Linked DNA regions of Stegostoma tigrinum. The protein of the gene in region 1 interacts with the protein of each later gene in a pairwise test. Links are inferred from orthologs where the notes say so. Each region holds a gene or a part of one and is shown in the gene's direction. Other genes may lie near its edges.

Region 1 (7,987 bases):
CCCACAAATATCCAAAGCAAAATTCACAGGGCAACAGAAGCAACGTCAGCAAAATTGTGAAGCAGTCTCACTGGAAGCAATTAGTCTACATGCCACCTTGCATAATATTTTCACTTTGATAAAAATGCTGCGCCATAGACCTGAAATGCTAATTCGGTTACTCTCCACAGATATACTTGAGCTGATGAATATTTCCAGTGCTTTTTTTGCTTTTAATTTAAATACTAGTTGACATGGAACATCCTTTTGCCTGTTATTTGCACAGCCTCATTTCATCGCATACCTTTTGTCCACCTATCCCATTAAAATGGGAGCAAATGTATTGATCTGAATTGCAAAATGTCCAACAAAGTTCTTAAACGTGTTGTCACCTCCCATACCTGTGCCCTGTTTTCCCAGAACTTCCTACTTGAATCTTTCCAATCAATTTTGTGCCCCTGCCACAACAGTGAAGTAACGCTCATCAAACTCAGAAGTGACGTGTTATTTGACTGTAGCAAAGATAAACTATCCCTCCACATCCTACCCTATACCACAGGTCCTATTTTCTACATTTTCTCAAACACTGTCCCTTCAAACACTTTTCCCCTGTTTTCCAGTCGAGGGGGGCTGCTCTCACTGGGGAGTCCATTCTTCTCAATCTAGTCATAGCTGGAGAACGACCTGCAATAGATTCAATTCCCTCTCTAACACCCTCACCTCCCAGAGGAATCTCAATTTCATATGGGTGATTAATCCATAAATTTGCTGACTGCACAACGTGCCACAAATATCAGATCGGACAGAAAAAGTTCTCCAAATTCCATCTCTACTTCACCTTTGCTATGAGAAGGGTCAGAAGATGCTTTGAGTTTCTTAACCCTTACCCCAGTTCACACCACTAATTTTTTTTTTGCCCCTGCATGGCAACATCTGTCCATGGTTTATTTATGATGTGAAGGTGCCAGTGTTGGATTTGGGTGGACAAAGTCAGAAGTCACATGACACCAGACTAAAGTCTAACCGGCATATTTGAAATCACTAACTTTATGTGAAATCACAAGTTTGCAAAGTGACACCCCTTCATCAGGTGAAGTGAGAAGGGAGCACACAGAGTACAGAATTTATAGGCAGAGAGATCAAGGGCAGAGCGATCGAAAGATCATGCGAATTGTGAGAGCAGAGTGTCGAATAACAAATCCCTGCAGGTGATCCAAAGTGTTAGACCATGTAAGTAAAAATGAACAACAAGCAAAGGATAACCTGTAATCCAATTAAATGAGACAGAGAGATAATTACAAAAAATTAAAAATAAGGTGATGCTGGAGAGAAACCAAATGACTGGAACAACATGAAATCCCTTTGCTTGTTATTCCGCTGTTGACACTTTACTCACGCTAACACTTTGGATCACCTTCAGGGACTTATTATTTGATACTCCACTCACACCATTTGTTTGACGTTTTAATTTCTCTGCCCATAAATTCTGGATCTGTGTGCTTCTCTCTCACTTCACTTGACAAAGGGGCTACATTCCAAAAGCTTGTGATTTCAAATAAATCTGTTTTACTGTAACCTGGCATCATGTGATTTCTGACTTGGATCACTTATGACATGTCCCAATTCATTGTGACCCAACAAGGGACTTTCACTGTAGCTTTCATCCACATACTGTCTCTTGGCACGAACAACTGAAAAAACGGTCAGTTTCCACTATACACTAGTAACACCAAACTCTCCATTTCAAACACCTTCTTCAACCTCTCCGCTGCATTTAAATGATCAAACTGCCTGCTTAACATCCAATATCATATGAGCAAAACCTTACTCCAACTTAACACCAGGAAAATTTGAACTATAGGAACGGGGCATAGTAGTGTATAATGTTTCATATCATGAAAGGAATACAGTGCGGCTCTCCAGGGATAGGCATTAGGGCCATTTCGTTTCTTAAAGTGTATCAATAATTTTGTTAAAATTCATTCACAGAATGAGGGTGAAACTGGCTAGGCCAGCATTTATTGACAATCCCTAATTTCCCCAGACGGCAGTTGAGAGTCAACCACATTGTGGGTTGGCAGTCACACACAGACAGACAAGGTAAGGACAGTAGTTTCCTTCCCTAAAGTACATTAGTGAACTAGATGGGTTTTTCCCCAACAATCGACAATGGATTTGAGATCATCATTAGATGCTTATTTCCAGATTTTTAGTAGATTCAATTTCCACCATCTGTCGTGCTGTGATTTGAACCCAGGTCCCCAGAACATTATCTGGGTCTATGGATCAACAGTCCAGCAATAATACCACTAGGCCACTGCCTCCCCTAAATCTAGATTGGGGTGTACAGCCCACAATCCCAAAATTTACAGATCACAAAAAACTCAGAAGTTGAATCAGTTTCAGCTATTGGAGGTCTGATTTTTCAGTTTTGAGTGCTTTTAGTAAAAGGTACAAGGGGAAAGTCCTGAAGATTCATTGATGTAGAGGAACAGGATAAGGGATGGAAAGACAAAACAAGAGGGCATGGAAAGAAATGCAGGGCATTAGTGATAAAGAGTAAGAAATAGCTAGGCCACACAATCAGCAAAGATTAAGAAAAAGGCTTTGAGGTGGCAATGTGGCACAGTGGTTTGCATTGCTGCTTCATACCACCAGGCATCTGGGTTTCATCCCAGCTGTGGGCTGTGTGGAGTTTGCACATTCTCCCCATGTCTGTGTGAGTTTCCTCTGGGTGCTGCTATTTCCACCCACAGTCCAAAGATGTGCAGTTTATGTAGATTAGCCATCCTATCCTGAGACTATGACCCTTACTTCTAGATTACCCAACCAGGGAAGATGCGCTCCATGCATTTGTCCAGGCCTGTTAGAATTTTATAATTTCCAATCAAAATTCCCTTTCATCCTTTTAAACTTTCATGAATATTGGCCCAGTTGAAACAATTTCTCCTCATATGACAGTCCCGCCAACCCTGGTATCATCCGGGTGAACCTTTGCTGCATTCCCTCTGGCCAGTATACACAGTCTTTGGCAGGGAGACCAAAACTGCGCACAACCATCTCACCAGGGTCCTGTATACCTCGTATGGCATCCCTGCTTCGGACCTCAAATCATTTTGCAACCAACGCCAATATATCACTTGCCTTCTTAACTGGTCAACAAGGATATGCAGATTCCTTTGCATATCCAAACTTCCAAACATATCACTATTTAAATAATATTCTTCTTTTCAGTATATCACACTGAAGCATAAAACTTCACAGTTATCCACAATATACTGCTTCTGCGATGTGTTTTCACACACAACCTGCCTAGAAGCCTCCTTCTTGCATCATCATCACAATCCCACCTCATCTCGGGTCATGACCAAACTTGGAAATTTTGTGATAATAAAATGTGAGGCTGGATGAACACAACAGGCCAAGCAGCATTTCAGGAGCACAAAAGCTGACGTTTCGGGTCTAGACCCTTCATCAGAAATTTTGTATCTGGTTTCCTCACACTGAGTTTATAACAATCATGAATAGCTGAGGCCCAGCACTGACCCCTGCATGACACCACCAATCACCACTTGGAAAGATTTATTTCAACTGTGTTTCTGGTTTGTCAATCAATTCATAATCCATGCCAGAATGCTGCCCCCAATCCAACATGCTTTAATTTTGCCTGTTACCCACTTTTGTGGATCCTTATCAAAATTGTCCTTGAAATTAAAATGCACCACACCGACAGGCTTCTTTTATCTGTGAAATAAATCCTAAAGGGGTTGCAGAAAGAGAACTGCCTGGGTTTATAAATGTACACAACATTGAGGTTTTCAGGGCAGGTGAGGGAAATAGTTACTGAGGCACATGGAATCTTCGGATTCTTAAAAGAGAGTGAATATAAAATCAAGGAGGTCATGGTGAACCTTTACAACAAAAACCTTTATAACAAAAAACTGACCCAGCTGGAGTACTGTGCCAAATGCTAGGCATCAAACTTTGGGGATCTCATACAAACCCATAAAATTCTATCAGGATTCGACAGGGTGGACGAAGGAAGGATCGGGGCGGGGGAGTCCAGAACCATGGGTTACAGTTGAAAGTTCCGGGGTAAACCATGTAAGGACTGAGGTGAGGAGACATTCCTGCGCCATTCACTATTACAGAAAGCTGTCAAACCCGAAACATTCAAGAAGGAGTTAATTATAGCCCTTGGACCTAAAGGAATCATTGGATGTGGGGAAGAAGTGGAAACAGGCTCTTAAATTTGGAGCGTCTGCTAAGCAGACTTCTTCAAAATAAATCAGGATTTTAAAAACGAAAATCGAACAACACATTTCTCCCTTCCCCCAACAGAATGCAATCTTCTTACTTTTCACTGCTACTTTCTGCTGAATCTGTATCGGTGACTCCCTCCTCGCCGATGTTGGGCAAAGTGAAGGGATGTTGCTTGTTGGACAGTTTCCACGTAACGCTATCCTCAACCGAGTATACCGGGGACCTTCCCGTGCCAGAAATGATACTGTTGTTTGATCCGGTCGGAGATGGCATGGTTTTCACTGCATTTAAACTGGCCAGGCCGGAGCTCGGAGCTGCCCGGACTGCTATCTGACTTGCAGTCCCTACACTCAGGCCAGCTGACTTGGGCACAGAAGCTGACGCTGGAAAAGAGGCGCTGCTGTTTTTAACAGTGACAGGGCTGCCCGGAGCAGAGCCACTTCCAGAAAGTCCAGAGGCTTTCCCTGAGACACCGGACAAAGATGAAGATACCGATATCGCCGATGGTCCATGAGGTGTTGCTGACTGTCCACTATTTGAGGAACCAGCTGGCGGGATTACAGGAGAAGCGGAAGTCTTGAAAATATTTGCAAATATGGTTCCCAGGTCCAGCACTGCAAGCTTCATTTTTTTTGTTGTCAAACGCACTTAAAACATGCCAGCTTGATCAGCCTCAGGACCCCAGGCAACTGTATCGCCAGGCACTTAAGAAATTTGATACGATCTGACTTTCCCATTAAGAGGAAAGTAAGTTTTCTTTAGAAATCAGTCTTGAAGATATTCTCCCAGAGACGGGGAGGCTTTCTATTTCTCCGCTAACTGTAGCCGTTGCCAGTACACTACACTATATGATTGAAGAGTCAGTCCAGTCTTGTTTGTCAGCTTGACGGTTTGTCTGCTGTTCTACTGCAGATGAAGAAATAGCTGCAACTCTCCAGCTTGCTCGGCTGCTCGTAAAGTAATAATTCTCTTAGAAGACAAGAACAAAAGATTGCCATCAAAAACAGAGTTGGCTGGCTCGCAGACTTGTCAGGTGACAACAGCAGTCCAGGTTGCTACGCAAAACAAAACCCTTACTCCTGGTTGGTCTATTACCAATGGCTGAAGGGTGGTTCTTATTTACCGTGTGAGGAAACAGATTTCACTGAAACCGTGAAAGGTTTGATGTCGTACGGGGAAGGCACTGAATGCATGTTCCAGTGTTTGACTTCTCATTACACTGATTTTGCACTGACTTTTATTTTTAAAAATACTGCCTTGGAGTTTGCACTGTCATGGCAGAGCCTCCCCATCCCCTCAGCAAAGATGAGCGGCACCAGGCATTACCCCATGAACATTAAGTTGTGCAGCTTGCTGGATTATGGGCTCCTCAGTAGGTTAAGTTCAGGGAAGGAGCCACTGAAGAGATACAGAGATAACAAAGTGCAGAGCTGGATGAACACAGCAGGCCAAGCAGCATCTCAGGAGCACAAAAGCTGACGTTTCGGGCCTAGACCCTTCATCAGAGAGGGGGTTTGGGGAGAGGGAACTGGAATAAATAGGGGGAGGCGGACCGAAGATGGAGAGTAAAGAAGATAGGTGGAGAGAGTATAGGTGGGGAGGTAGGGAGGGGATAGGTCAGTCCAGGGAAGACGGACAGGTCAAGGAGGTGGGATGAGGTTAGTAGGTAAATGGGGGTGCGGCTTGGGGTGGGAGGAAGGGATGGGTGAGAGGAAGAACCGGTTAGGGAGGCAGAGACAGGTTGGACTGGTTTTGGGATGCAGTGGATGGGGGGGAAGAGCTGGGCTGGTTGTGTGGTGCAGTGGGGGGAGGGGACGAACTGGGCTGGTTTAGGGATGCAGTAGGGGAAGGGGAGATTTTGAAACTGGTGAAGTCCACATTGATACCATATGGCTGCAGGGTTCCCAGGCGGAATATGAGTTGCTGTTCCTGCAACCTTCGGGTGGCATCATTGTGGCAGTGCAGGAGGCCCATGATGGACATGTCATCTAGAGAATGGGAGGGGGTTTCAGCTTTTGTGCTCCTGAGATGCTGCTTGGCCTGCTGTGTTCATCCAGCCTCACATTTTATTATCTTGGAATTCTCCAGCATCTGCAGTTCCCATTATCTCTAATATGATTTGTGATCTTGGATTCTCCAGCATCTGCAGTTCCCAGTATCACTAAAGAGATACAATCGGGCAGTGGGAAGGGGCTCACAGCTTACAGCTGTGAGCCCTGAAGGGACATTCAGTAGAATTCTGTGAAACTGAGACCATACTGTAGAGTGTTGTTTACCAGACCCTCCTTTCCCCATCCCTTCAGCCCTCAAAACCAATATTAAATGATTCCCTTTCCTCTTAGAATGTGACTCAACGATGGGGAAATAAAATCTCACTATTTCTCAAATGATCGATCATAACAAACACTCACTCATTTCATGTAATAAGAAAATGAATGTGGTAATTAACAATTTTACACTCTTAACATCTGGTGCCAGCTTCACTGTGATAAATGGGCTTGAAATAGAACGCAGTGGAGGTTTACAGTGTGACCTTTAGCTGAAGGAACTGAACTAAAGAACTGCTCATCTTTCAGGGTATTTCATTTCAGACAGCAATACTATCACCTGCAAAGAAAAGGCATAATGGAAGATGAGATGGATGAATAGTAGCCGGAATAATTTGCTTTCTTTAATTATGGAGTCTTCATTTAGCAGCTTGTTTGTAATTGAATCAAGCCACTTTTTGCTTAGCATGCTGGAGTCAAGCTCTATCATACAATAATACATGAAAAATGTTTAATTTTGATGAGAGGATGAATTACTTCTGTTGAGAACCAAGAGGTTAGATTGATAGCAGACTTTTCAGAATCAGTGGAAGAGGATGTGTTTGCAGGAATTACATATGGGAACAGAAACACCAATCAGCCCCAAAACTCTAACATTTTTCTTCAGGTCTTTCACTTGGCAGCCAAGGCATTTGTCTGAATCAGGAAGTAGTCCCATTAATATAAACAAATTGTATAAAGAACAAAGAGCAGTACAACACAGGAACAGCCCCTTTGGCCCTCTGCGTCTGTGCCGTCATATTTTGTCCTTCCATGTTAAAACTCTCTTCACTGATAGGATCTGTGTCCCTCTATTCCCTTACTATTTATGCATTCATCCAGATGTTTCTTGAAAGCTGCTATTGTGTCTGCTTCCTCCACCTCGTCTGGCAGTACGTTCCAGGCACTCACCACCCTTTCTGTGAAAGATTTGCCTCGCACAAATCTCTTAAACACCCCCCCTTGTGGGTTGAACCTGTGTCCCCTAGTAATGGACCCTTCCATACTGGGAAAAAGTCTCATACTTTCCGAGTTATTCATGACGTTCACAATCTTATACATTTCTATTAGGTCATCCCTCAACCTCCTGTGTTCCAGTCAAAACAAACCCAATCTATTCAAGCATTCTTCATAGCTAAAATCCCCCATATCAGGCAACATCCTGGTAAACCTTTTCTGTACCCTCTCCAAAGCATCCACATCCTTCTGGTCGTGCGGTGAATAGAACTGTATGCAATATTCCACGTGTGACCTAACTAAAGTTCTATAAAGCTGCAGCATAACTTGCCTATCATTATACTCAATGCTATGATGTGTATAGAATCCCAATAATATTTTAATAGTAGAAGTTGCTGGAGAAATTCAGCAGGTCCGGTAGCATCTGTGAAGAGAAAACAAAGTTTATGTTTTGAGTCCAGTGAGCCTTTTTCTGAACTTGG
Region 2 (7,607 bases), on another chromosome or scaffold:
GCAGTTGTTTGTTGCGAACTGAGCGGAGGTGTTCTGCAAAGCGGTCCCCAAGCCTCCGCTTGGTTTCCCCAATGTAGAGGAAGCTGCACCGGGTACAGTGGATGCAGTATACCACATTGGCAGATGTGCAGGTGAACCTCTGCTTAATGTGGAATGTCATCTTGGGGCCTGGGATGGGGGTGAGGGAGGAGGTGTGGGGACAAGTGTAGCATTTCCTGCGGTTGCAGGGGAAGGTGCCGGGTGTGGTGGGGTTGGAGGGCAGTGTGGAGCGAACAAGGGAGTCACGGAGAGAGTGGTCTCTCCGGAAAGCAGACAGGGGAGGGGATGGAAAAATGTCTTGGGTGGTGGGGTCGGATTGTAAATGGCGGAAGTGTCGGAGGATAATGCGTTGTAACAGTTCATCCACTTCACCAACACCTCCCACCCCAACCTTCAGTTCACCTGGGCCATCTCCAGCACATCCCTCACCTTCCTGGACCTCTCAGTCTACATCTCAGGCAACCAGCTTGTAACTGATGTCCATTTCAAGCCCACCGACTCCCACAGCTACCTCCTCCCACCCACCCTCCTGCAAAAATTACATCCCCTATTCCCAATTCCTCCGCCTCCGCCGCATCTGCTCCCACAATAAGACATTCCACTCCCGCACATCCCAGATGTCCAAGTTCTTTAAGGACCGCAACTTTCCCCCCACGGTGATCGAGAACGCCCTTGACCGCGTCTCCCCCATTTCCCGCGACACATCCCTCACACCCCGCCCCCGCCACAACCGCCCCAAGAGGATCCCCCTCGTTCTCACACACCACCCTACCAACCTCCGGATACAACGCATTATCCTCCGACACTTCCGCCATTTACAATCCGACCCCACCACCCAAGACATTTTTCCATCCCCTCCCCTGTCTGCTTTCCGGAGAGACCACTCTCTCCGTGACTCCCTTGTTCGCTCCACACTGCCCTCCAACCCCACCACACCCGGCACCTTCCCCTGCAACCGCAGGAAATGCTACACTTGTCCCCACACCTCCTCCCTCACCCCCATCCCAGGCCTCAAGATGACATTCCACATTAAGCAGAGGTTCACCTGCACATCTGCCAATGTGGTATACTGCATCCACTGTACCCGGTGCGGCTTCCTCTACATTGGGGAAACCAAGCGGAGGCTTGGGGACCGCTTTGCAGAACACCTCCGCTCAGTTCGCAACAAACAACTGCACCTCCCAGTCGCAAACCATTTCCACTCCCCCTCCCATTCTCTTGATGACATGTCCATCATGGGCCTCCTGCACTGCCACAATGATGCCACCCGAAGGTTGCAGGAACAGCAACTCATATTCCGCCTGGGAACCCTGCAGCCATATGGTATCAATGTGGACTTCACCAGTTTCAAAATCTCCCCTTCCCCTACTGCATCCCTAAACCAGCCCAGTTCATCCCCTCCCCCCACTGCACCACACAACCAGCCCAGCTCTTCCCCCCCACCCACTGCATCCCAAAACCAGTCCAACCTGTCTCTGCCTCCCTAACCCGTTCTTCCTCTCACCCATCCCTTCCTCCCACCCCAAGCCGCACCCCCAGCTACTAATCTCATCCCACCTCCTTGACCTGTCCGTCTTCCCTGGACTGACCTATCCCCTCCCTACCTCCCCACCTACACCCTCTCCACCTATCTTCTTTACTCTCCATCTTCGGTCCGCCTCCCCCTCTCTCCCTATTTATTCCAGTTCCCTCCCCCCATCCCCCTCTCTGATGAAGGGTCTAGGCCCGAAACGTCAGCTTTTGTGCTCCTGAGATGCTGCTTGGCCTGCTGTGTTCGTCCAACGTATGAAATAGGAGTAGGCCACCTGCCCCCTTGAGCTTGATCTGCCATTCAATGAGCTTCAGGGTGATCTGATTCCTTTCCCATATTTTATAACCCGACAGTCACAATACCTTAATGGCAATTAAATCATTCTCATTTACTTCTATTTGTGCTTTCAAATTGTCAACTTTGATGTGAATCTGCATGTATTCAGACACAATGCCTTTAATTCTGCCTTTTTAATTTCATACAGTACTCTAAGGTTCTTGAGTAGATTTGTTGCTTGGGTTGTGGATGCTGTGGTTGGTTTGCCGACTGAGCTGTTTCGTTAGTTCGCACACATTTCATTACCCTGCTGGGTAACATCATCAGTGCAGCCTCCAATGAAGTGCTGTTGTGTTTTCCCACCTGGTATTTAAACTCTGGCGTCCGTTGGATTTGAATACCTCATTTCTGGTTTTCCTTTGCAGTGGTCCGTGAATATAGGGTCGAGTTCTATGTGTTTGTTGATGATCTTCTTGGTAGAGAACCAGGCCTCGAGGAATTCCCATGCTTGACTGTTTGGCCTGTCCTCGGATTCTGGTGTCAGATCTGATCTAATTTGTGGCCCTCTTAACTGTAAATTCTTGCTACTACTGCTATTTGTAGTTTAATGATAATAAAATGTGAGGCTGGATGAACACAGCAGGCCAAGCAGCATCTCAGGAGCACAAAAGCTGACGTTTCGGGCCTAGACCCTTCATCAGAGAGGGGGATGGGGGGAGGGAACTGGAATAAATAGGGAGAGAGGGGGAGGCGGACCGAAGATGGAGAGTAAAGAAGATAGGTGGAGAAGGTGTGGGTGGGGAGGTAGGGAGGGGATAGGTCAGTCCAGGGAAGACGGACAGGTCAATGGGAGAGAGATTCCCTGAGGTTGGTCCGGAGGGAGGAGGGTAACTTCTTCAGGTTAGGCATCCCTGGAAGAGGCTTCGCAGTGAGGTTAAAATAGTATCAGAGATAATGGGAACTGCAGATGCTGGAGATTCCAAGATAATAAAATGTGAGGCTGGATGAACACAGCAGGCCAAGCAGCATCTCAGGAGCACAAAAGCTGACGTTTCGGGCCTAGACCCTTCATCAGAGAGGGGGATGGGGGGAGGGAACTGGAATAAATAGGGAGAGAGGGGGAGGCGGACCAAAGATGGAGAGTAAAGAAGATAGGTGGAGAAGGTGTGGGTGGGGTGTTTTGTGTTATAGCTTCACACTTTGAGACTTCGTTTTTAAATTAGCCAGGTGCTGGTCCTGGTGAGTCTGCCTGCCCTCTTCTTTGTAGCAGAATTAATCTCCTGGTTTAATGGTAACAGTGAGTGAGGGATTTTCCTAGTTATGAGATTACAAATTGTGGCTGTTGATGGCCCACAGCATAGTTCTAATGTGTTTAGTTCTGAGTCACTAGAAATCTGTCCTATTGAGCATAATATGAGTTTTACACAATACAGTGTAATATATCCATAATGTGAACGTAGCCACTTTTGTTTCTAGCATGACTGTGGTCACTCCCACCATTATTGTCATTATGGACACCTGCAACAGGCAAGTTGGTGAAGATCAGGTTTCACATTACAGTTTTTAATGTCAGATAGGATGGGGAAAAATCTATATTGGTGAAGATGAGGTTAGGTAGTTTATTTCCTCCTGTTAGTTCCTCCACCACGTACCGCAGACCCAGTCTGTCTGTAATATTCTTCAGGACTCAGCCAGCTTGAGTAATGGTGCTGCCACCAAATCACCTTTAGCAATTGACTGAGAATATATTCTGTGCCATTGTCACTCTCAATGCTTCCTTTCAAGTGGCAATTAGTTTTCAGCATAAAGGAGTACTCATTCATTAGCAGAGGAGTGCTGAAGAAGGTGTGGGGTTAGTTGGTGGTAATCAGAAGGCTGTTTCCTTGCTCATGTTTGGTCTGATGTCAAGAGACTTCATGGGGTACAGAGTCAATCTTGAGGACTGCCAGAGGGCAACTCTTTCCATTGTTTTCACTTCTGGTGAGTCTGTTCTGTCAGTAGGACAGGATATATCCAGGCACGTTGACAGTGGCATCTGGAATATTGTCTATAAGGTATGATTCTGAGAGTACTTCAGGTGAAGATGCTGCTTCACTGCTGTGGGACAGCATTCCCAGTTTTGGCACATACCCCTGGACCTCAGTAAAGAGGATTTTGCAGGATTGACAACGCTGGTTTTTATGTTGTCATGTCCATGCCTAAGTAGTTGCTGGGTAGCCCATCCAGTCTCACGCTTTTGTTTAGACCTGGAGTGGGCCTTGCACGCACAATCTTCTGACTTGCTGAATCCCATACAGCGCGACCAGGTCTCTGGATCATCTTGATCTTAATTGTTCCACCATTGGTGGCTGTACTTTGGATATTTTACGTTAAAGTGACCGTGTAAAAACAAGTTGCTTATTTTAATATGTTGCTAAATATTACCATGCGGAGATTTGTGCATATCAAGTAAATATCTCACGAGCGAAGCACCTTCCGATAGAATTTATTAACTAATTCTTGTACAGTACATGTATATCTTGAGATGTTACCATTTGGACGATGCGTTGAACTGAAGGCTTGCATATCCGCAAAAGACTCCGCGGCACGATTCCGAACAGAATGGGTTACACGGCGTTCTGATGCGTCAGAAATAGTAAGAACTGCTAATGCGTCACTTCCTCTGAGCTTCTACTTTCCTTGAGTTACTGGCGAGAGGGTCAGAGCCGATAATGAAGCTGCAAAGGTACCTGTATCTCGTCCTCCTTAACATTCTTCTGATCTGCTTTCAAACATATGGGAGCGAAAGTCTTGGAAGAGGTGGGTTAGTTTATATTTGTTTTATTTAAACGATGGCTTTGATGTGGTTTAATTGAAAACCGTGGAAACGCAAAAAATCGTGTGTCTATGGCTAATCCGTTACCTCTGTCAATCTTTCTCGCATTTGATTAGTCATTCTGATCTAGAACTCAGAAATAATGGGAACTGCAGATGCTGGAGAATCCAAGATAATAAAATGTGAGGCTGGATGAACACAGCAGGCCAAGCAGCATCTCAGGAGCACAAAAGCTGACGTTTCGGGCCTAGACCCTTCATCAGAGAGGGGGATGGGGAGAGGGAACTGGAATAAATAGGGAGAGAGTGGGAGGCGGACCGAAGATGGAGAGGAGAGTATAGGTGGGGGGAGGTAGGGAGGGGGATAGGTCAGTCCAGGGGAAGACGGACAGGTTAAGGAGGTGGGATGAGGTTAGTAGGTAAGAAATGGACGTGCGGCTTGAGGTGGGAGGAAGGGATGGGTGAGAGGAAGAACAGGTTAGGGAGGCGCGGCTTGAGGTGGGAGGAAGGGATGGGTGAGAGGAAGAACAGGTTAGGGAGGCAGAGACAGGTTGGACTGGTTTTGGGATGTAGTGGAGGCAGGGCATGAGCTGGTCTGGTTGTGTGATGCAGTGGGGGTAGGGGACAAACTGGGCTGGCTTCGGGATGCGGTGGGGGAAGGGGAGATTTTGAAGCTGGTGAAGTCCACATTGATACCGTTGGGCTGCAGGGTTCCCAAGCAGAATGTGAGTTGCTGTTCCTGCAACCTTCGGGTGGCAGCATTGCGGCACTGCAGGAGGCCCATGATGGACATGTCATCTAAAGAATAGGAGGGGGAGTTAAAATGGTTTGCGACTGGGAGGTGCAGTTGTTTATTGCGAACCCAGCGGAGGTATTCTGCAAAGCAGTCCCCAAGCCTCTGCTTGGTTTCCCCAATGTAGAGGAAGCCACACCGGGTACAGTGGATACAGTGTACCACATTGGCAGATGTGCAGGTGAACCTCTGCTTAATGTGGAAAGTCATGTTGGGGCCTGGGATGGGGGTGAGGGAGGAGGTGTGTGGGCAAGTGTAGCACTTCCTGCGGTTGCAGGGGAAGGTGCCAGGTGTGTTGGGGTTGGAGGGCAGTGTGGAGCGAACAAGGGAGTGACGGAGAGAGTGGTCTCTCCGAAAGGCAGACAAGGATGGGGATGGAAAAATGTCTTGGGTGGTGGGGTCGGATTGTAGATGGCGGAAGTGTTGGAGGACGATGCGTTGTATCCGGAGGTTGGTGGGATGGTGTGCGAGAACGAGGGGGATCCTCTTTGGGTGGTTGTGGCGGGGGCGGGGTGTGAGGGATGTGTTGCGGGAAATGCGGGAGACGCGCTCAAGGGCATTCTCAACCACTGTGTGGGGGAAAGTTGTGGTCCTTGAATGCCTCATTCTGGGAGCAGATGTGGCAGAGGCGGAGGAATTGGGAATAGGGGATGGAATTTTTGCAGCAGGGTGGGTGGGAGGAGGTGTATTCTTGCCCCCACAACTCCTCCCTCACCCCCATCCCAGGCCCTAAGATGACTTTCCACATTAAGCAGAGGTTCACCTACACATCTGCCAATGTGGTATACTGTATCCATTGTACCCGGTGTGGCTGCCTCTACATTGGGGAAACCAAACAGAGGCTTGGGGACCGCTTTGCAGAACACCTCCGCTCGGTTCATAATAAACAACTGCACGTCCCAGTTGCGATCCCTCCCCCTTTTAACTCCCCCTCCCATTCTTTAGCTGACATGTCCATCATGGGCCTCCTGCAGTGCCACAATGATGCCACCCGAAGGTTGCAGGAACAGCAACTCATATTCCACTTGGGAACCCTGCAGCCCAATGGTATCAATGTGGACTTTACCAGCTGCAAAATCTCCCCTTCCCCCACTGCATCCCAAAGCCAGCCCAGTTTGTCCCCTCCCCCCACTGCATCACACAACCAGCCCAGCTCATCCCCTCCACCCACTGCATCCCAAAACCAGCCCAGCCTGTCTCTGACTCCCTAACCTGTTCTTCCTCTCACCCATCCCTTCCTCCCACCTCAAGCCGCACCTCCATCTCCTACCTACTAACGTCATCCCGCCTCCTTGACCTGTCCGTCTTCCCTGGACTGACCTATCCCCTCCCTACCTCCCCACCTATACTCTCCTGTCCACCTATCTTCTTTTCTCCATCTTCGGTCCGCCTCCCCCCCTCTCCCTATTTATTCCAGTTCCCTCTCCCCATCCCCCTCTCTGTTGAAGGGACAAGGCCCGAAACGTCAGGTTTTGTGCTCCTGAGATGCTGCTTGGGCTGCTGTGTTCTTCCAGCTCCACACTTTATTATCTCTGTTCTATAACTCCTCTATTTTTGTCATTTGGACCCAGTCGTTGACCGGAAATGGTGAAGACCTTGATAGGTAACAGGTCCAGCAGCAAATAGTTTACTTAATTTCCATTTTTGTCTTCTAGTGTCCCACACTCTAAAGAATTGCCAATGAAGAAAACAATCGTTACGCGCACGGTAGTGTGTATAATGAATACCAAACAAATTTAAATGATCCAATTCCATTGAATTGAGATATTAAAATAACATTGTATGAGGTTTTAGGTGTCGACGTTTGTCTCTAACAATTTGTCAGAGATGGAAATTCATAGGAATGGCAACCTTTTTTCAGGATTTGGAGACCACATTCACTGGAGAACACTGGATGATGGAAAAAAAGAAGCAGAAGCCAGGTATGCAAAGCTAAGTAGAAACTTCCTGTTCAACTTCTGACTTGGAATTTGTGATTTTAAACTTTGTATATTTAGTTGGCAATTGACTGGCTTCCTCCTGGAATATCAAAGAGCCAAATTTGTCAGTATGTCTTAATGTGATTTTATTAAAATGTAATTCTTAAATGAAACATAATCAGGTATAACTTTTCTGTCAGCATGCTGCCTGCTTTATGTTTGATTCATTGCCAAA
Region 3 (7,606 bases), on another chromosome or scaffold:
ATTGGATTTGCACGCAAATCAGACTGAGTGCAGGTGGTTGGTTCTCTTCCCTGAGACGCATTTGTGAACAGTTGAAGTTTTACAGCAATCTGGAAGCTTTTACAGTCATTTTTGTTTTGAAGCCAAATTACCAGATGTATTGAATTCAATTTTGCAACATGCTTCTCAACCTGAACTAGTTGTTAGCCCAGTACTATAGTTCCTGCATTTACTTACTCATAGCCGTAGCTGGCTTATTTGACACTAATATTGATAGCACTTTTAAACTATGTAGCAGACTTCATTTGTGAATTCCATTGGAGTATGTTATTTTATGATGTGGTTACTGCTGTGCCCAGATGATAAAAGTGGTGGACAGCCTCATTATACTGTACAGGATATAATTGGCCTCCTGTTTCTCACCAGCAGTCAGAATGTGCCACTGAGGTAAGATAATACCTTTATTTTGAAAAGTTGTTCCTTCTTGAAAACTCAGCATGTGGGCCACCCTGCCTGTTTAACCCACAAAGTGGCATACTGTGAGGGGAAACTGGAAGAAATAAGAAAAGCCAGAAGAAATTGGACGGGGATTGATTAACAAATTGTGAAGTTCAGCCATCCATCTTCTCCATTCTGCAAACCTTTTACATTCAGGGTTTTGTTGTTCACAATCTGTTAATTATTGACACATGATAAGACCTATGGCGTAATTTACATCTAGTCAAATTTAGAAGGTGATATTTGCTCATGCAGCTAATTATGTTTTGTAATGTTGAGATGGAATTGGACTCACTGGATCAAGAGTCTTGCATACACAACAGAATTATGTACATGCCTTGCTTTAGATATAATTCTTCGTTCCTGTTAGCTATTGGTATACTGAAACACATCTAAATCAATTAATTACTTATTACTTAGCAGCAAGCTAAGGAGTAGAGTTTGAATATAGTACTTGAGCATTGCAGCTGTTCTAAAGATTTTACGAATAAATGTTTTTCCTTCAGAGAAGAAAAGAAATCAGGGTCCTTTTAATCACGACTTGCAGAAATTTTCTGTGAATGTTTTTTATAGAAAGATCAGGAAAAATTTTATGATCATAAGTGTGGTGGAAGCAGATCCATTAGTAACATTCAAAAGCAAATTAGGCAAATACTTGGACGTGGAATAATTTGCAGGACCGTGGAGAAAGAACAAAAGCTTGGGACCAGTTAGATTACTTCTTAAAAGAGACAGTGCAGAATGGTAGGCTTCTATATTGTATTAGTTTGTGATACAATGGTGTGGAACTCAATAACCCTCAAACATTGGTTACAATGAAGGGATTAACCAGTGCTAATTGCCACTGACACCAATTTTGTAGTGCCAAATAATTAACGTGATTGCATAGTTCAGCCAGCATGAGCTGCATTGCTGATGGGCTGCGCAGCTCAACAGGAGCCGTAAATTACTGAGGCTGACATGAGATAAAACTAGGAACAAAGAAAGAAGTTGCTGTTAAAGCTCAGCAAATCTGTCAGGGTCAGTGAAGAAATAAAATCAGTTGATGTTTTGCGTCTGGTGACCTTTCCTCTGAACAGAACACAAAACATTAACTCTGATTTTGTTTTTCTTCACTGATGTTGCCAGACCTGATGAGCTTTTTCAGCAACTTCTGTTTTTGATCCTGATTTACAGCATCCACCACTCTTTCGGGTTTTTATTTATGAAATAAAACTAGCCTGCACTACATACAGCCAGGCTGTAACTCCATTTTGACCAGTTCATTTGACGGAGTCCATCCAAGTTTTGTGTCTGCTCTGGGATACCTATAACAATGGTATATTAACAAGAATGTGTGTCAGCCCAAAGATTTCACAACCTTGACGGAAGAAACGCTCAGAAGTAGTATGACCAGATAACCATTGATAGCCAATGACAGGAATTATCCCAAGGACACTAATGTAAAGCCATGATTGCAATGTTTTATTCTGAGCGGTCAACCTCAGTGAATGCAACTTCTTACAGCACATAATCTACTAATTACACCTTGAGCTGAATTTGACTGCAATTTGCCTGTGTCAGTTTTGTCGCATTTCCATGGATGGTTTTGCTCCATGAGGCCTGACAAGATTTCTCACACTATCTCTTCATGCTGAACTCATTACGATAAAGCACCACATCCCCAAGGCACCCTATCCACTGCAGGTTGATGTAATTTCTCGGATTTCCTAGTGCCATATTTAATATCTAGGGAAGGGAACCTGTCATTGGTATCTGGGCCAAACCAGATACCAATGGGAGTGACTCTTTAATGCCCCCTGGGCGATTAGGAGATGGGCAATAAATGCATGTCTAGTGATTCCCACACCCTGTGAACAAATGAAATAAAATCAGTGCATGACTATCATGAATGCAGCAGAAGAATTTCACTATTTAACAACAATTTAGCCTTTTAGCTCACCAAAAATGGAAGAACTCACTAGTGCATGGATAGCTATTGGGATTAGTGTAGAATAAAGGTGCTTTATTTTAGGGAATAAAATTAACCTTCTTGATGATGAAAAAATCAAGATGTTGATCTTAGCTTTCCGATCTCAAGCAGTGCATCATAACGAGCTGGATGAATGCATGATTTAGCAAACATTGTTGGCAATATTATTTGAAATTGCGGTTGGCAACCCAGTACTTTGGACAATGGAACTAAAATGAGACTCTCTTGAACTTGGAATTGTCATAAAATTAGGAGGCATTGAGGAAGAGGTAAGGTTCCACTGCTATCTGATGCAAAATGCAACATTATAAACTGGCTATCTCCATAACGCAATAGTGCACAGTTCAAGAGTACTCAACAAAGGATACTGTTTCTGAGTAAATATTGGACATAACTCAAATATATGCTTGGGAAACCTATTGACCACCCTTATGCTGAATGTGAGATTCTACAGTTTTTATGAACAGTCTTCCCTAGAGGAATCTTTCTGATAACATTATAAATTAATCCAGCCTTATTTCACATTAGCAGGTGTAAAATATCTTCATTCCTGGTTGTTTTGACAATATATCATTTTATTGTGATGAATACATTCTATGAAATCATCTTCATAGTTATTTGTCAATTGTCAACTTGATTTGTCCAATTTAAATAAAGGTTAAAATTACCTGGGGAAAATTGGAGAACATTTCTTTTATATAGGCCTTCATTATTTCTTGATTTATACTCTGTACTGTGTCGCTACTTTGAGGGCCGATAATTTACACCCCAGTGATACCTTCCCCTTGCTATTTTTTACTTTCATCTATACTGTTCTAAGCCAAGATTGTTTCTCACTACAATCATGATCTCCTCTTTCATTTAATACAGCTACTCGACCTCCTTTTTCCTCTTCCTCCCCTACCTCTGTTGATTGTGAAATGCCCTTGAGTGCCCTTCAGTTTCCAACTTTGGTCACCTTGCAACCATTCTGTTTTCATCCCCATTTATTTGTATTTTTGTTATCACTGCATTTTATCTTGTTACGAATGCTGCATTAAGGATGCTATGATTTGATAAACGCAGTGATTCATGATTAGTTTGTGGAATGTTGGTGATGACCTAAGAAAACTGCTGTTACCTAGCACCTTAGTTTTGATAATGTTAAAAAAATGAAATTGAATCAGATGTAGAAGTGCACGTAAATTTTTAGATTAATTCCAGCTTTATGTTTGAAATACATTAACTGAGGTGCCCTTTATGATTTGATATGTGCTATGATACATACTTCCAAGTAACAATTACACCTTTTTGATAGGTATGAGTTTAATCTGGAAGTTGAAGCAGGTAATTATACACAATATTAACAACATGTTCAGCATTCCACTTAAACATTGTACATTCAGGGAAGAGAACTGACAATAACAGACCTGTGAAAATGTGATCTTCCTGTATGTTCTACCTGCCTCCAATTATTGTCTCAATAGTGTTATTAAGAGAGTTTCCTTTCTCCAATTTGTGCTTCCTCTCATCCTGGCTTGGCCTCTGTTCGTCCAACTCTTGACTGGCTTTCATAAAATCTGCAATTCATAGAAGGGACTCATATTTTGAGTCACTGCAAAACAATGTAAAAATCCCAACAGAAAAAGATTTTAGTGTTAATGTTAAAAAATGCACCCAGACGTTTTGCTAAACTGCCTTTAAAGTATTAATGGAAATAATAGAATATCTTCAACAATGCGAGGATTCTGTGAAACAACATCCACTGCCTTTACTTAGCCAGGTGCATAGATTCTGCTTATCCTTGATTAAAAAAGGCAATTCAGCTTGGTTTCAGTCCATACCATATGGTTTGTTTTGTGTCTCTTGTTTCAAAGATCTCTTTAATAGAAAAGAATATAAAGAGGTATGATATCATGTGATTACTACTGCTTGTGGAGTACTCCTGCAGATGTGAACTAGAGCTCAGCGGAACTCAATCTGAAAATAACAGTGAGCTGTACTATTATGAACCTTCCAAAAACTAAGATAAATATTCACTATTTTACTTTTCTATTACTATGCATGGGGTTCAAGGACACCCTCTCAGAGCTGGAGAAAGGATCCATTCATTGTGGTCCACATGGATACCAATAACCTAGGTGTAATGAAGAAGGCAGCTCTGCTGAAGAAGTATGAACAATTAGAGGATAAATTGAAAAGCAGAGCCAAAGAGGTATTGTATTGTAATAATCTCTGGATTATTACTGGAAACATAAGCAAATAAGAATAGAATATATCAGATCAAAGAGTTGAATAGGTGAGGAAGAAATGTGTTTCAATTCATGGTACCAGGATTTATGGCATAGGAGTGGCAAAAGAGGGTGTTGCACTATTGGCCTAGCCTTCACCTGGACCCCAAGTGTCCCATTGACTCTTACAATATAACTGGAGGAGCTGAGAACACCCATTAGGGACTGCAGCGGAGAGGATGGGCATTTAAATTGCAAGGTACATTTAATAAAACTCCTGTAGCATTTTTCAGCTATTACTTTTTAAAAATTATTTATGATTTGTAAATGGAATATTTTTAAACATTCATGATATGACGTAATGAATCTCAGTGTAATTTAGATTTTTTCATTAATATTTAATGTTTTCTAATGACAGTGCAGACAAATAAGGGCTAAGGGGCCTGGGTAGGTTGGCATCTGGATATGAAGACAGGCACCTGTGTGGGTGATAAGGGGGTGGTGTGGTGCATTTATAGTCGTAGGTATGCGGGGTAGTCTGGTGGCAAGTTGGCAGATGACCTATGGTTCTTAAACTAATGTCTTGAAATGAAATGAAGACGGAGCTTGTTGTAATGCTACAGTGGTAGAGAAGCAATGGCAATATTTCAAGGGCATTTTCCACTATAAATATTCAATGTGAATAATGTCTCATCCATCCTTGGCTCTAAGAAGGTATAAAATCAAAAGTAAAGTTGCATGATATTGTAAAAATTAGTGGCGGCACTCATATTGGAAAAAGTTTAGAAACCCTCAAAGGATGACTAAAAAAGAGGAGGAAATTAGTGCATGAAAGAAATTGAGCAAGAAATATAGAAACTGACAGTAAAAGCTCCTGTCTGTATTAAAATAGGAAAACAGTAGCTAAAGTGAGTATTGGTCCCTTTGCGGTTAAGACTGGGAAATTAATAATGGGGGGGGGGGGGAGGAATGGCAGAGATTTTGAATAAATATTTTGTAATTTATCAACAGAGTACCAATCCCAAGTACCATCCCAAAATAATGGAAAATTAAGAAGTAAAAGCAAAAGATGGACTGCAAACATGACAAGTATATTGGTTGTAATTTTCCAAAATTCCCCAAGTTTCTTAAAAGGTCATAAATGTTACAGCATTCTGCAAAAAAGAAAGGAGTCAGATATCAGAACACCATCGTCCAGTTAGTTTAACGTCTGGCATTGGGAAATGTTGGCATGTATTAGCAAGTGATTTGGAAAATCTTGATTATAATCAGGTAGAATCAACATGGCTTTGTGAAAGGGAAATCATGTTTGATTAATCTATTAAAACACTTTCAATCACAGTGGAATGAGGGATACCATGAGAAATAAGATGTTTAAATTTTAAAAAGACATTAACTAAGATGTCACACGAGCGGTTATTGTACAAGTTAAGAAATCATTGCATTGTGGGTGACAGATCATCTTCGATTGAGGATTGGCTGACTGGAAACACAGAACCATGCTAAATGATTCTGTTTCCAGTTGGAAAACTGTAACTGCTTGAATGGTGAACTATTTATAAATTATACTAATAACTTGGATTAAGGGACTGACTGAATTGGAGTCAAATGTGCATCAGAGAAATTACTTTGGATATGTCATCTGATGTTATTCAAATATATATATATGAGCATCAGGAAATAAAGGTCTATATATTAATTCAGCTAACAAAGTGTGGAGCTGGATGAACACAGCAGGCCAAGCAGCATCTTAGAAGCACAAAAGCTGATGTTTCGGGCCTTGGCCCTTCATCTGCAGTTCCCATTATCTCTGATCACTATATTAATTCAGCTCTGTTTTAAAGTTCACTATCTAGTGGCTTCTCAAATCCTGCTCCACAATATTTTTGATGCTCATTGTTTAATTGCAGAGAGAAGGGCATTTACAGAATAAAAGTTGATTACAGAAGATATAAATAAAGTATGATAAATATTAGTAATAAAACCAAACAAAGTGCTACCTGATGCACTTTGTATGGTAAAATCTGCCTATGGAGCATGCAAAACAATACTTTACACTGTATCTTGGTACATGTGACAATAATAAATCAAATTGAAATCAAGTATTTACTTACCCCACTCCTCTCAAATTGTCCATCAAAAATCTATTGATCTTCAATTTTAAAATATTTAATTGAGCGAATAACCATTGCTTTTTACAGGAGAGAATTCCACATTTCTACAACAACTTAGGTAAAGATGTGTTTCCTGACTCCTGTCCTGAACAGCCCAGTGTTGTAAGTTATGTTCTCTTGTTCTAGACTCTCCCACCAGCAGTTTCTCTCTATCTATCCTTCCCTTCAAAGTTTTATAAACCTCAACCAAATAAACCCATAACCTGCTATATTATGGAGAATACAGGCTCATTTTATATAATAGCTCCTCATAATCTGTAATCTTAGAGACCTGGGAACATTTGCATTGCATTCCTTCTTAAGCCAAAATATCATTTGTAAAGCGGGGTGTCCCAGCTGTACATAGCTCTCCAAACACTATCTAATCAGGGCTTTGTATAGATGTATCATAGTGTCCTCCTCCTTATGTTCTTCCCCTCTTAAATATAACAGCTAACATTCCCTTACCTTTCTTTGGTTCTGCAGTTGATGACTACATTTTAATCTGAATATGTAGACTCCTAAATCTCTTTGCACCTCCACTATTTCTCGCTTTTAGCTATTTCAAAAACAGTTGGAACTATCCCTTTTTGCTCCTAAATAAACGATCTTCCACTTTGTGTATTGAAATCAGCCTGCCCCAGTTTCTCCTGGCATTTCAATCAATCATGCTTTTTTCTTAGGCTATGCTCCCATCTCCACCGCTACCTACTGTACCACAAGTCTTTGTGTCAACAACAAACTTAGATCTGTAGCTCTCTATTGTGTTAGGATCTAAGTCACAAACAAGTATG

What was found.
Region 2: the proteins of small glutamine-rich tetratricopeptide repeat-containing protein beta-like (region 1) and txndc12 interact in binary tests that used the Homo sapiens proteins (3 or more experiments, as listed by UniProt). The two-hybrid records come from large-scale screens. The link is inferred for Stegostoma tigrinum from reciprocal best matches to the Homo sapiens genes SGTB and TXNDC12.
Region 3: the proteins of small glutamine-rich tetratricopeptide repeat-containing protein beta-like (region 1) and retinoic acid-induced protein 2 interact in binary tests that used the Homo sapiens proteins (3 or more experiments, as listed by UniProt). The link is inferred for Stegostoma tigrinum from reciprocal best matches to the Homo sapiens genes SGTB and RAI2.

What each region holds. Positions count from the first base shown.
Region 1 is NC_081354.1:117,674,610-117,682,596, forward strand, and holds the start of small glutamine-rich tetratricopeptide repeat-containing protein beta-like, read left to right. Parts: upstream 1-4,959; 5' UTR 4,960-5,275; intron 5,276-7,987. Other genes in the region: protein FAM149A-like, read right to left, coding at 4,337-4,869. UniProt on the Homo sapiens protein: Co-chaperone that binds directly to HSC70 and HSP70 and regulates their ATPase activity.
Region 2 is NC_081361.1:64,051,223-64,058,829, reverse strand, and holds the start of txndc12 (thioredoxin domain-containing protein 12), read left to right. Parts: upstream 1-4,501; 5' UTR 4,502-4,557; coding exon 4,558-4,645; intron 4,646-7,314; coding exon 7,315-7,375; intron 7,376-7,607. UniProt on the Homo sapiens protein: Protein-disulfide reductase of the endoplasmic reticulum that promotes disulfide bond formation in client proteins through its thiol-disulfide oxidase activity.
Region 3 is NC_081365.1:68,042,847-68,050,452, forward strand, and holds the start of retinoic acid-induced protein 2, read left to right. Parts: upstream 1-4,566; 5' UTR 4,567-4,574; coding exon 4,575-4,643; intron 4,644-7,606.